Arabidopsis thaliana: one gene and its partner. The protein of the gene in region 1 interacts with the protein of each later gene in a biochemical or structural test. Each region holds a gene or a part of one and is shown in the gene's direction. Other genes may lie near its edges. The genes, in order: PID and PBP1.

Region 1 (4,744 bases):
AAAAGATTCGAGGGAGAAATAATAATTGGAGTAAGGTGGGAACTAGTCCGTACAAAACATGGACCCCACGAAATATATAGTACGTACAAGACACAGAAGTAAGTCATTCCGATGTAGTTTTAGTAATTGGTACAAGATTGGGATATAGTTAAACTAGTTACCAAACACTTGGCTAAGAGAGAGTTTGAGAAGATACAGAAGTAACGGGAACAGTTATTGTCTTTAGGAACCAACGAGGAAGGGAATATCTCTCTGGGTTTATTTAACCATAAGTCCAGAGGTCAGTTCTGTTTTGTCTCTTTGCCAATTTAGCTGGCACAATTACGACTTTGTCCCTCTTCCACCAAACATCTCATGCATTTTTCTCCTTATTTCCTTCTTTTTTCTCCAAACTTCTTTCTCTTAAGTTTCCAAAATACTTAAGAGAATAACTGAATATAGTCACAGTCAAATATGTTAATGTTTGATTCAGATTCTTTAATTTAAAACTAAACCTAGGGACACTTATCTTAACCTAGGGACACATTAATTTTGAAAAACGTGTTCTAAGGTTAGCTAAGGAGAGGGCCATGCAGATATATATGCGCCAAATGAATCATAAGCGGTGGGCATATTTATGTCTGTCCTTTTTATGGCTTATGAAACAAAGTTAAAGCTATATATTGTGCATGAAACTTAGGCTACGTTTCCCCTCTATTTTCCATTCATTTTGAACTCAACATTTGCAAGTGTTAACCACACTTCTTCTAACTGTTGTGATTCGTTTATTCTAGCCATTTCACAGATTGAGGCTAGTATAAGTATTCTAGAGTACATTATATGAATACGTCTCAAACTTTTACTGTATAAACAAAACAGTTTTCCAACCGCGAACAGAGGTTGGATTAGAGCAACTCATGGAAAAGATAAATCGGAGATGAAAAAAGTTGTCACAGTGGTCAATCCACAATGATATGAGAGTAGGACAAGTAGGTTCATTCCCGTATAATTATATAATACAATATGTTATAGTAGCCCAAACATTATAGGAGGTGGAGCTAAAACAAAACAAAAATTAGCGAGAGGAGATCTCCAATTGACAATAATTGAATCAACCAAAACCTAACCTAACATAAAAACAATATCTTGGATTCAAATCCAAAGCTTGGAACGTAACGTAACATGAAGCCACAGAAAGCCAACAACATCCTAGTATATAGGTTGGGTCCCTTCCAGCATTTGTATCATCTTTATTAATGATCATTAGGTATGTTCATAGTCGGTATAAATATATAGGGTCCGCACAAACTGGTACACTTTTTTAATGGCAAACATAGTGGTACGAATTGATAGTAATTAAGTGTGTTTTGGTCAATAGCTAGTTTTTTTGGGGTTTTCAAAGATTATATATCCGTGACCATGAGTTCTCTAGTTCAACTCTCACTCACGAGAAAGACAAATGAAAGAACATACTGTACTAGTTTTTGTCTAAAAGTACTCTTTGATTAACCTTTAGAAAATTGATGTTATCATTAAACAAAAAAAATAGTTTCACTATCTCTTCCTATAACCTTTTTTACGGGCTCATTGAATAATTACATATCTTTTAGTACATTTTGTACCAAGACGATATAACATTACCAATCATCTTGAATTAGCCAGAAACAACAAACTAAAACTGTTTAAGTTTCAGAAACTAATCCATATATAATGTTGAGATTAGTTAGTATTCATAACCTATGGAGTATTAATCTTCAAAATTTTCCTCATGAAATCTGTATTTAGTCATCACTTTTTTAACACAGATGAATCACTAGTCCAATATTTCTCCAAAAAAAGACACAAGAGTCTCGAAATTGTAATCCATATCTGTAATTTTGCACCCCTATAATATGCCTAGAGGAAATAAGAAGAAAAAATAATGGGGAAAAAGAGAAGCTACTGCTACACTTTCAGGCACGTGACAACGTCTCACACGTGTCATATATCTTACGTCATCAAGTCCTCTTTTTCTCTCTTTCACTTTTCTGTTTACCTCTCTCACGCGTTGAAAAGTGCAATCAATCTTACATAATTAACCACAGTAAGAAAAAAAAAAAATGGTCTCTGTAACGTCTTTTTACTGTTATAACCTTACACGCATAAATACCCCTCACCAACTCTCTCTGTCTCGCCTCTCTCTAAAACTCCAACACTTCTCCTTCTTCCATCTCTCTCAAACTTCTGAAAATCTTCTTCTTCTTCTCAATCATAAACCCTAAATCTTCATCTCTTCAGATCAGAAACTAATGTCCATTCAAAGACACCCTGTCCTGTTTCATCTCTGTCATTAGTCTTCTGTTTTCAGATTCCAATTTTTTTTCTTGAATTATCCTCTTAGCCATTTCTTGATTTAACTTCGATTTTCCCGGCGATGTTACGAGAATCAGACGGTGAGATGAGTTTAGGAACAACAAACTCACCGATAAGCAGCGGAACAGAGAGTTGCAGCAGTTTCAGCCGGTTATCATTCGACGCGCCGCCGTCAACTATCCCCGAAGAAGAAAGCTTCCTTTCTCTCAAACCTCACCGATCCTCAGATTTCGCTTACGCAGAGATCCGAAGACGAAAAAAACAAGGCCTAACCTTCCGAGATTTTCGCCTCATGCGTCGTATCGGCGCCGGCGACATCGGAACAGTTTACTTATGCCGTCTAGCCGGAGACGAAGAAGAGAGCCGGAGCTCGTATTTTGCGATGAAAGTTGTGGATAAAGAAGCTCTTGCGTTGAAGAAGAAGATGCATAGAGCAGAGATGGAGAAAACGATTTTGAAAATGCTTGACCATCCATTTTTGCCGACTCTTTACGCTGAGTTTGAAGCCTCACATTTCTCTTGCATCGTTATGGAATATTGCTCCGGTGGTGATTTACACTCTCTCCGTCATAGACAACCTCACCGGCGATTCTCCCTCTCTTCCGCCAGGTAAAAAATATCAAATTTTATTGAATAATTTAATATTATGGACAAAGTCAGATTTTTTTTCAAAAAAAAAAAATTGTGAAAAAAGATTCATCATCATCAATGTATATATATATTTTATAGTTACATGCATTGACTCTGTTCACATTTGTTATCTTGTTCTGCAAGAACAGACCTGTTCTTATCATGTCGGTCTTTTCCAGTTCTTTGAATTGTTATCAAAGAGTCTTTTTCAGCCCATCACAATTTATAAACGTCAATAATTATGATTTTATTAGCTAATGAGTATTTATTTTGTTTTTGGTTACAGATTTTATGCCGCCGAAGTTCTAGTGGCGTTAGAATATCTACACATGTTGGGTATCATCTACAGAGATCTGAAGCCTGAAAATATCTTAGTTAGATCCGACGGTCACATTATGCTCTCTGACTTTGACCTCTCTCTATGCTCCGACTCAATCGCAGCCGTTGAATCTTCCTCGTCTTCGCCGGAGAATCAACAACTCCGTTCACCGCGACGATTCACTCGTCTCGCTAGACTTTTCCAACGAGTCTTGCGGTCTAAAAAGGTTCAGACTTTAGAACCAACCCGTCTCTTTGTTGCTGAACCGGTTACTGCCCGGTCCGGTTCGTTCGTTGGTACGCATGAATACGTGGCACCAGAAGTTGCTTCAGGTGGATCACATGGTAATGCCGTTGACTGGTGGGCCTTTGGAGTGTTTCTCTACGAGATGATATATGGCAAGACTCCGTTCGTTGCGCCGACTAATGACGTCATTCTCCGTAACATTGTGAAAAGACAGTTGAGTTTCCCGACTGATTCGCCGGCGACTATGTTTGAGCTTCATGCGCGGAATTTGATTTCCGGGTTGCTTAACAAAGATCCGACTAAAAGACTTGGGTCACGGCGAGGTGCGGCGGAGGTTAAAGTGCATCCTTTTTTCAAAGGTCTAAACTTTGCGCTCATTCGTACGCTTACTCCGCCGGAGATTCCTTCTTCCGTCGTCAAGAAGCCGATGAAATCGGCGACGTTTAGTGGTAGAAGTAGTAACAAACCAGCGGCGTTCGATTACTTTTGAACGTTTTCTACGGTCGAGATTAGGGCCACGTGTTAGTCTGTTTTAGCTGTACATATTCCCTCGAAGCTGTCCTTTTTTTCGTTCTTTAATTTTTAAAATTTCGTTAATCTGACTTATAAATTAAAAATTTAGGTGACTTTTCATACAATTTGTACAACAAACGGATTAATCTAAAACTAATCTATTTTATAATTATCATTATCAACTCTTCGGAACTTGGGAACATCTATTTACCAGTCTAACGATAGTTAATGTTAAGGCATTATATAGTTGACCAAATTTGGTCAAACATTTCTTACCGGTTTGAATGAACTACTTTTCACCGCAATGGAAAAGAAAACGAATTACTTTATAATAAAACTCGTCACGCCTAGACTTTGTAGTTCGACGGGTATAGAAAAAGAAAAGAAGATTCGTCTTTTGACAATTGTAACACATGAAGTCATATTTGCTCTTTGTTAAATCTCTACGAGTCTTTAGAATGTCAAAAAAGGGAGAAAAAAACGTTATCCATAAGGGTAGGAATCTGCCTTTTTGGATCCGACCAGTTGCATGATCTCTCTTCTGCTTTCGATTCGTTCTCTTCAATTTCAACTTAAGGAGAACAATAAACTATAGACGGCAAGACGAAATTGTTTTCTTGATATAGAGTATCAAACGCATTCCTCTAGTGAATTCGTTTAAGCTTTATATAAAGTGGTGTCATTTTCTTTAATGTGTTAAATCGA
Region 2 (3,551 bases), on another chromosome or scaffold:
ATGTGGGAAAAGAAGCTTCACGCAGAAGTTACAGCTGAAGAAAAGCTTAGGGTTGCTTATGAAAAAGCGTACAAGATTCTGAACAATCTTGATCAAAACGGAGCAGAATCTAGTGAGCTTTACGAGGCGGAAACTTTGGTTAAACTCCATTTATCTAAGGTTAATGTTTCGGTTCGAGCGGTTGAATCGATTTCGATGAGAATTCATAAGATAAGAGACGAAGAGCTTTCGTTTCAAGTGATTGAGATCATTAACGGATTCAAAACAATGTGGAGATTCTTGGCGAAATGTCACCATAAGCAGTTTCGAGTGATTGCGAGAAGCAAGTCTTGTGTTCACATTGTTGAAAACGGATCGAGCTCCAGGAAAGCCACGCAGCAAGTCGAAAAACAGATTAGAAGATACAGAGAATCTTTGAAAGGTTACATTGATGCACACAGAGGTTTCGTTAAGCTTTTAAACGAATGGCTTAACCGAATCATCATGGAGGACGATGAAACCGAGACTGAAGCTCCTGAGATATTTAGGGTTTGCAGCGAGTGGTTAAGAGAGATTGAGAATGTGGATACGATTAAAGTGTTGAGTGTTGTTGAAGAAATGAGATTAAGATTTCAAGGGTTAGGGTTTAAGCAAGTAGAGGAAGAGAAACAGAGGATGAGAACAGAGAGATTGTCTAAGGAGTTAGAGAAGAAGACGAAGGAGTTGGAGGAGATTCGGGGAACGAGAGGTTCTAGTCCGACGTCGAATATGGTTGAACCGGAGTTGTTGTTTTTGAGAGAGAGTGTGACGCAAGAAACAGAAAAACATGAGAGATTGATAAGAGAGTTAAACGACGCCGTATCGATGAGTTTGCAAGAGTGTATGGTTCCTGTCTTTGAGGCTTTGGGAGATTTTTGTTTTGCTAATTTTAAAGCATATCAGAACATTGTAATCGTTACCACATAAACTCTATGATTGCGTCAATCATAAAAATAAATATGTATAGGAAATTAAATAAAGAATTTCATCAGATTTCGTATATTATTATATCAACATATTAGCTTTGAATGTTTGCGAAAGTTCTTCATTTTCTGGCGAGATTATCAGATTGTAAGACTTTTACTTTGATCAGTTTATGCTTCATTGCTTGCATCTGCTTAAAATTTCCGGTTATTGATCATGAACCGGGTTTTTTTTTTGTATATGACAATTATCTAAATTAAGTGTTCGAAACATTTTGAATTTTAAATATATGTTCAATCGGTCCCGAAAGATCTTGATCTAGGTAGAGATATACTTAATTAAAATCGATGAATGACCATGTCAATAAATCAAGATTCAATGTTCTTTCGACGAATTCTGTTCATTTTGCGGTTGGGATCATGCATTCATTTAAAATAAACCATTATTGAATACGTTATGGATAATGATAGTGATTAATTATCCAATGAGGAAGAGATTTGGTTGGATTGTTTTGGAGAGTAATAATAAAAAATAAAGGCATGCAATAGAAGGGGCAGACCAAGTGGAATATTCTGTCTACCACAACGAAGTTTCAATCAAAGATATCAGAGGTTAATGTCTTCCAATAAGCGACCAAAAATCTTGATTAATAATTAATTATATCGCCCAAAGTCACTATGAACTTGTACACGTGTTATTTTGGAGACTTTTCTCACCTAAATACATCGAGATCGCCTTGTTAGTTGGTACTTGGTAAACATTATGCTCTAATGGCTTTGGTTGTTATTGACGAACATACAATGTAATGAATATTTTCTCAATTGAGTTGTTTCATTTCTAACAAAACTAGAAACTAAAACAAGGAAGGCGATGTTTCTCACATGAAATTTACATACACGCAATGAAAACCAAACCGACTAAATTTTGTGTTTTTTTCAGGGTGATTTTTAAGAACATTCCTTAATCAATGGGATCTAAAAAAGTCACTTGCCTAAGAAAGTCACCGAAACTTCACATTCAAAGTAACTTTATCCTCTTCTCAGCTTTTCACATTATGAACCTCCCGTGGGAACAAAGACATTTATACCCTTACGTGAGCTTCCAAGAAGAAACCAACAATTTTTAAGATTTTTCCCCATTACATGTAGATTAGTTGGCTTCAAGTTTCTATGGATGTTCCTTCTCGGAAATCCATAATTCTCTTCCTTTATATATAAAACTTACTCACAACACAAAACCCATCTCTCAAAACAATCAATTTCTCTCAAACTGTTTTACTTTTTCTTCTTTTGTAATGGCATCTCCTAAATCCTCAACAAGACCAAACCAAGAAAACCAAGAACCTCAGTTCCAAGATTTCTTCCCAACAATGGCAGGAAAACTCGGTGGAGAAGGTCTGATCGAAGAGATTTGCAAAGGGTTCGAGCTTCTTATGGACAAAGACAAAGGAGTCATCACATTCGAGAGCTTACGAAGAAACGCATCGACGGTTCTTGGACTCGGAGATCTAACGGACGACGATGTTCGATATATGATCAACGAAGGAGATTTTGATCGAGACGGTGCGTTGAATCAGATGGAGTTTTGTGTGCTCATGTTTAGACTTAGTCCTGAATTGATGGAAGCGTCACGGTGTGTTGTGACGGAGGTGATCGAGGAAGAGTTTTACCGGCATTGATAGAGAAACCTTCTTATGCGTTAGAGACTTTGACTGAATTGTTTACACAAAAACCAAAATATAATTTAATAATTTATTAATGTTATTTTTATTCTCTCTTTGATTTCCCATTATTGTTGAGGTGGTCCATAGGATTGTTGGATTAATACTGAATTACTGATATGCAAAATTTGTCGAGAGTAGCGAAGGAAAATCTTAACTGATTCTATTCTTCTTTTATTCAAACTTTTTAGTTTAGGCTTCGTCATGTAAGGATCGATAGATAAGAATCATTAACCAAAAAATTATTAAAAATAAATATAAATCTTCAGAGTGAAAAAGAATATAAGTGTCAAAAACATTTTGGCGATTTTTGTTTTGAAAAAAAAAAAACCCCACTAAAACATTAAACCAAACTAAACTTAAGAACCAAGATGTTTTTATACCATTACCAAAACTTTAACCTAAATATTGAACCAAACTAAACCTAAATTGGCTGCTCAGTTAAATCTTACGACCTGTTTGATTAGCATTTTAGAAAGCTATGAGTTGCTGGCAAACAAAAAAACCCAACTCCAAGTCTAATATACATCATAAATAAGATTTAGGCTGACCATGGACTTGGAGTTGTGTTTTTTTTTGTTATTGGATAGAAATAGCATTAATAAAGGAAAAGCAAAAAAAAAGAAGAGATTTATTTTATTTACTGGATGGTAAGCTACAAAATCTTTATAACAAACGTCTTAACATATCATTCATCAAAGTCCACATTTAATTATTAGAACTCTTGAGTGTAGTGTCATCTTTCAACCACCTGATCATATTTCTACTTTTCATTAGTTAATTTCTTTATAAAGCAAATATGGTTGCACATTGCGAGTGATTCATCATTTAGGCTAATGCGTGTAGCCATGCAGTTCCTGAGATCCTGCGAAAAAGACCAAATCATGCA

Evidence for each region.
Region 2: the proteins of PID (region 1) and PBP1 form a complex in vitro, tested with the Arabidopsis thaliana proteins (one study listed by BioGRID).

What each region holds. Positions count from the first base shown.
Region 1 is NC_003071.7:14,589,206-14,593,949, reverse strand, and holds PID (Protein kinase superfamily protein), read left to right. Parts: upstream 1-1,809; 5' UTR 1,810-2,392; coding exon 2,393-2,940; intron 2,941-3,247; coding exon 3,248-4,016; 3' UTR 4,017-4,214; downstream 4,215-4,744. UniProt on the Arabidopsis thaliana protein: Serine/threonine-protein kinase involved in the regulation of auxin signaling. Acts as a positive regulator of cellular auxin efflux and regulates organ development by enhancing polar auxin transport.
Region 2 is NC_003076.8:22,119,222-22,122,772, forward strand, and holds PBP1 (pinoid-binding protein 1), read left to right. Parts: upstream 1-1,880; 5' UTR 1,881-2,236; coding exon 2,237-2,620; 3' UTR 2,621-2,901; downstream 2,902-3,551. Other genes in the region: AT5G54480 (hypothetical protein (DUF630 and DUF632)), read left to right, coding at 1-945. UniProt on the Arabidopsis thaliana protein: Potential calcium sensor that binds calcium in vitro.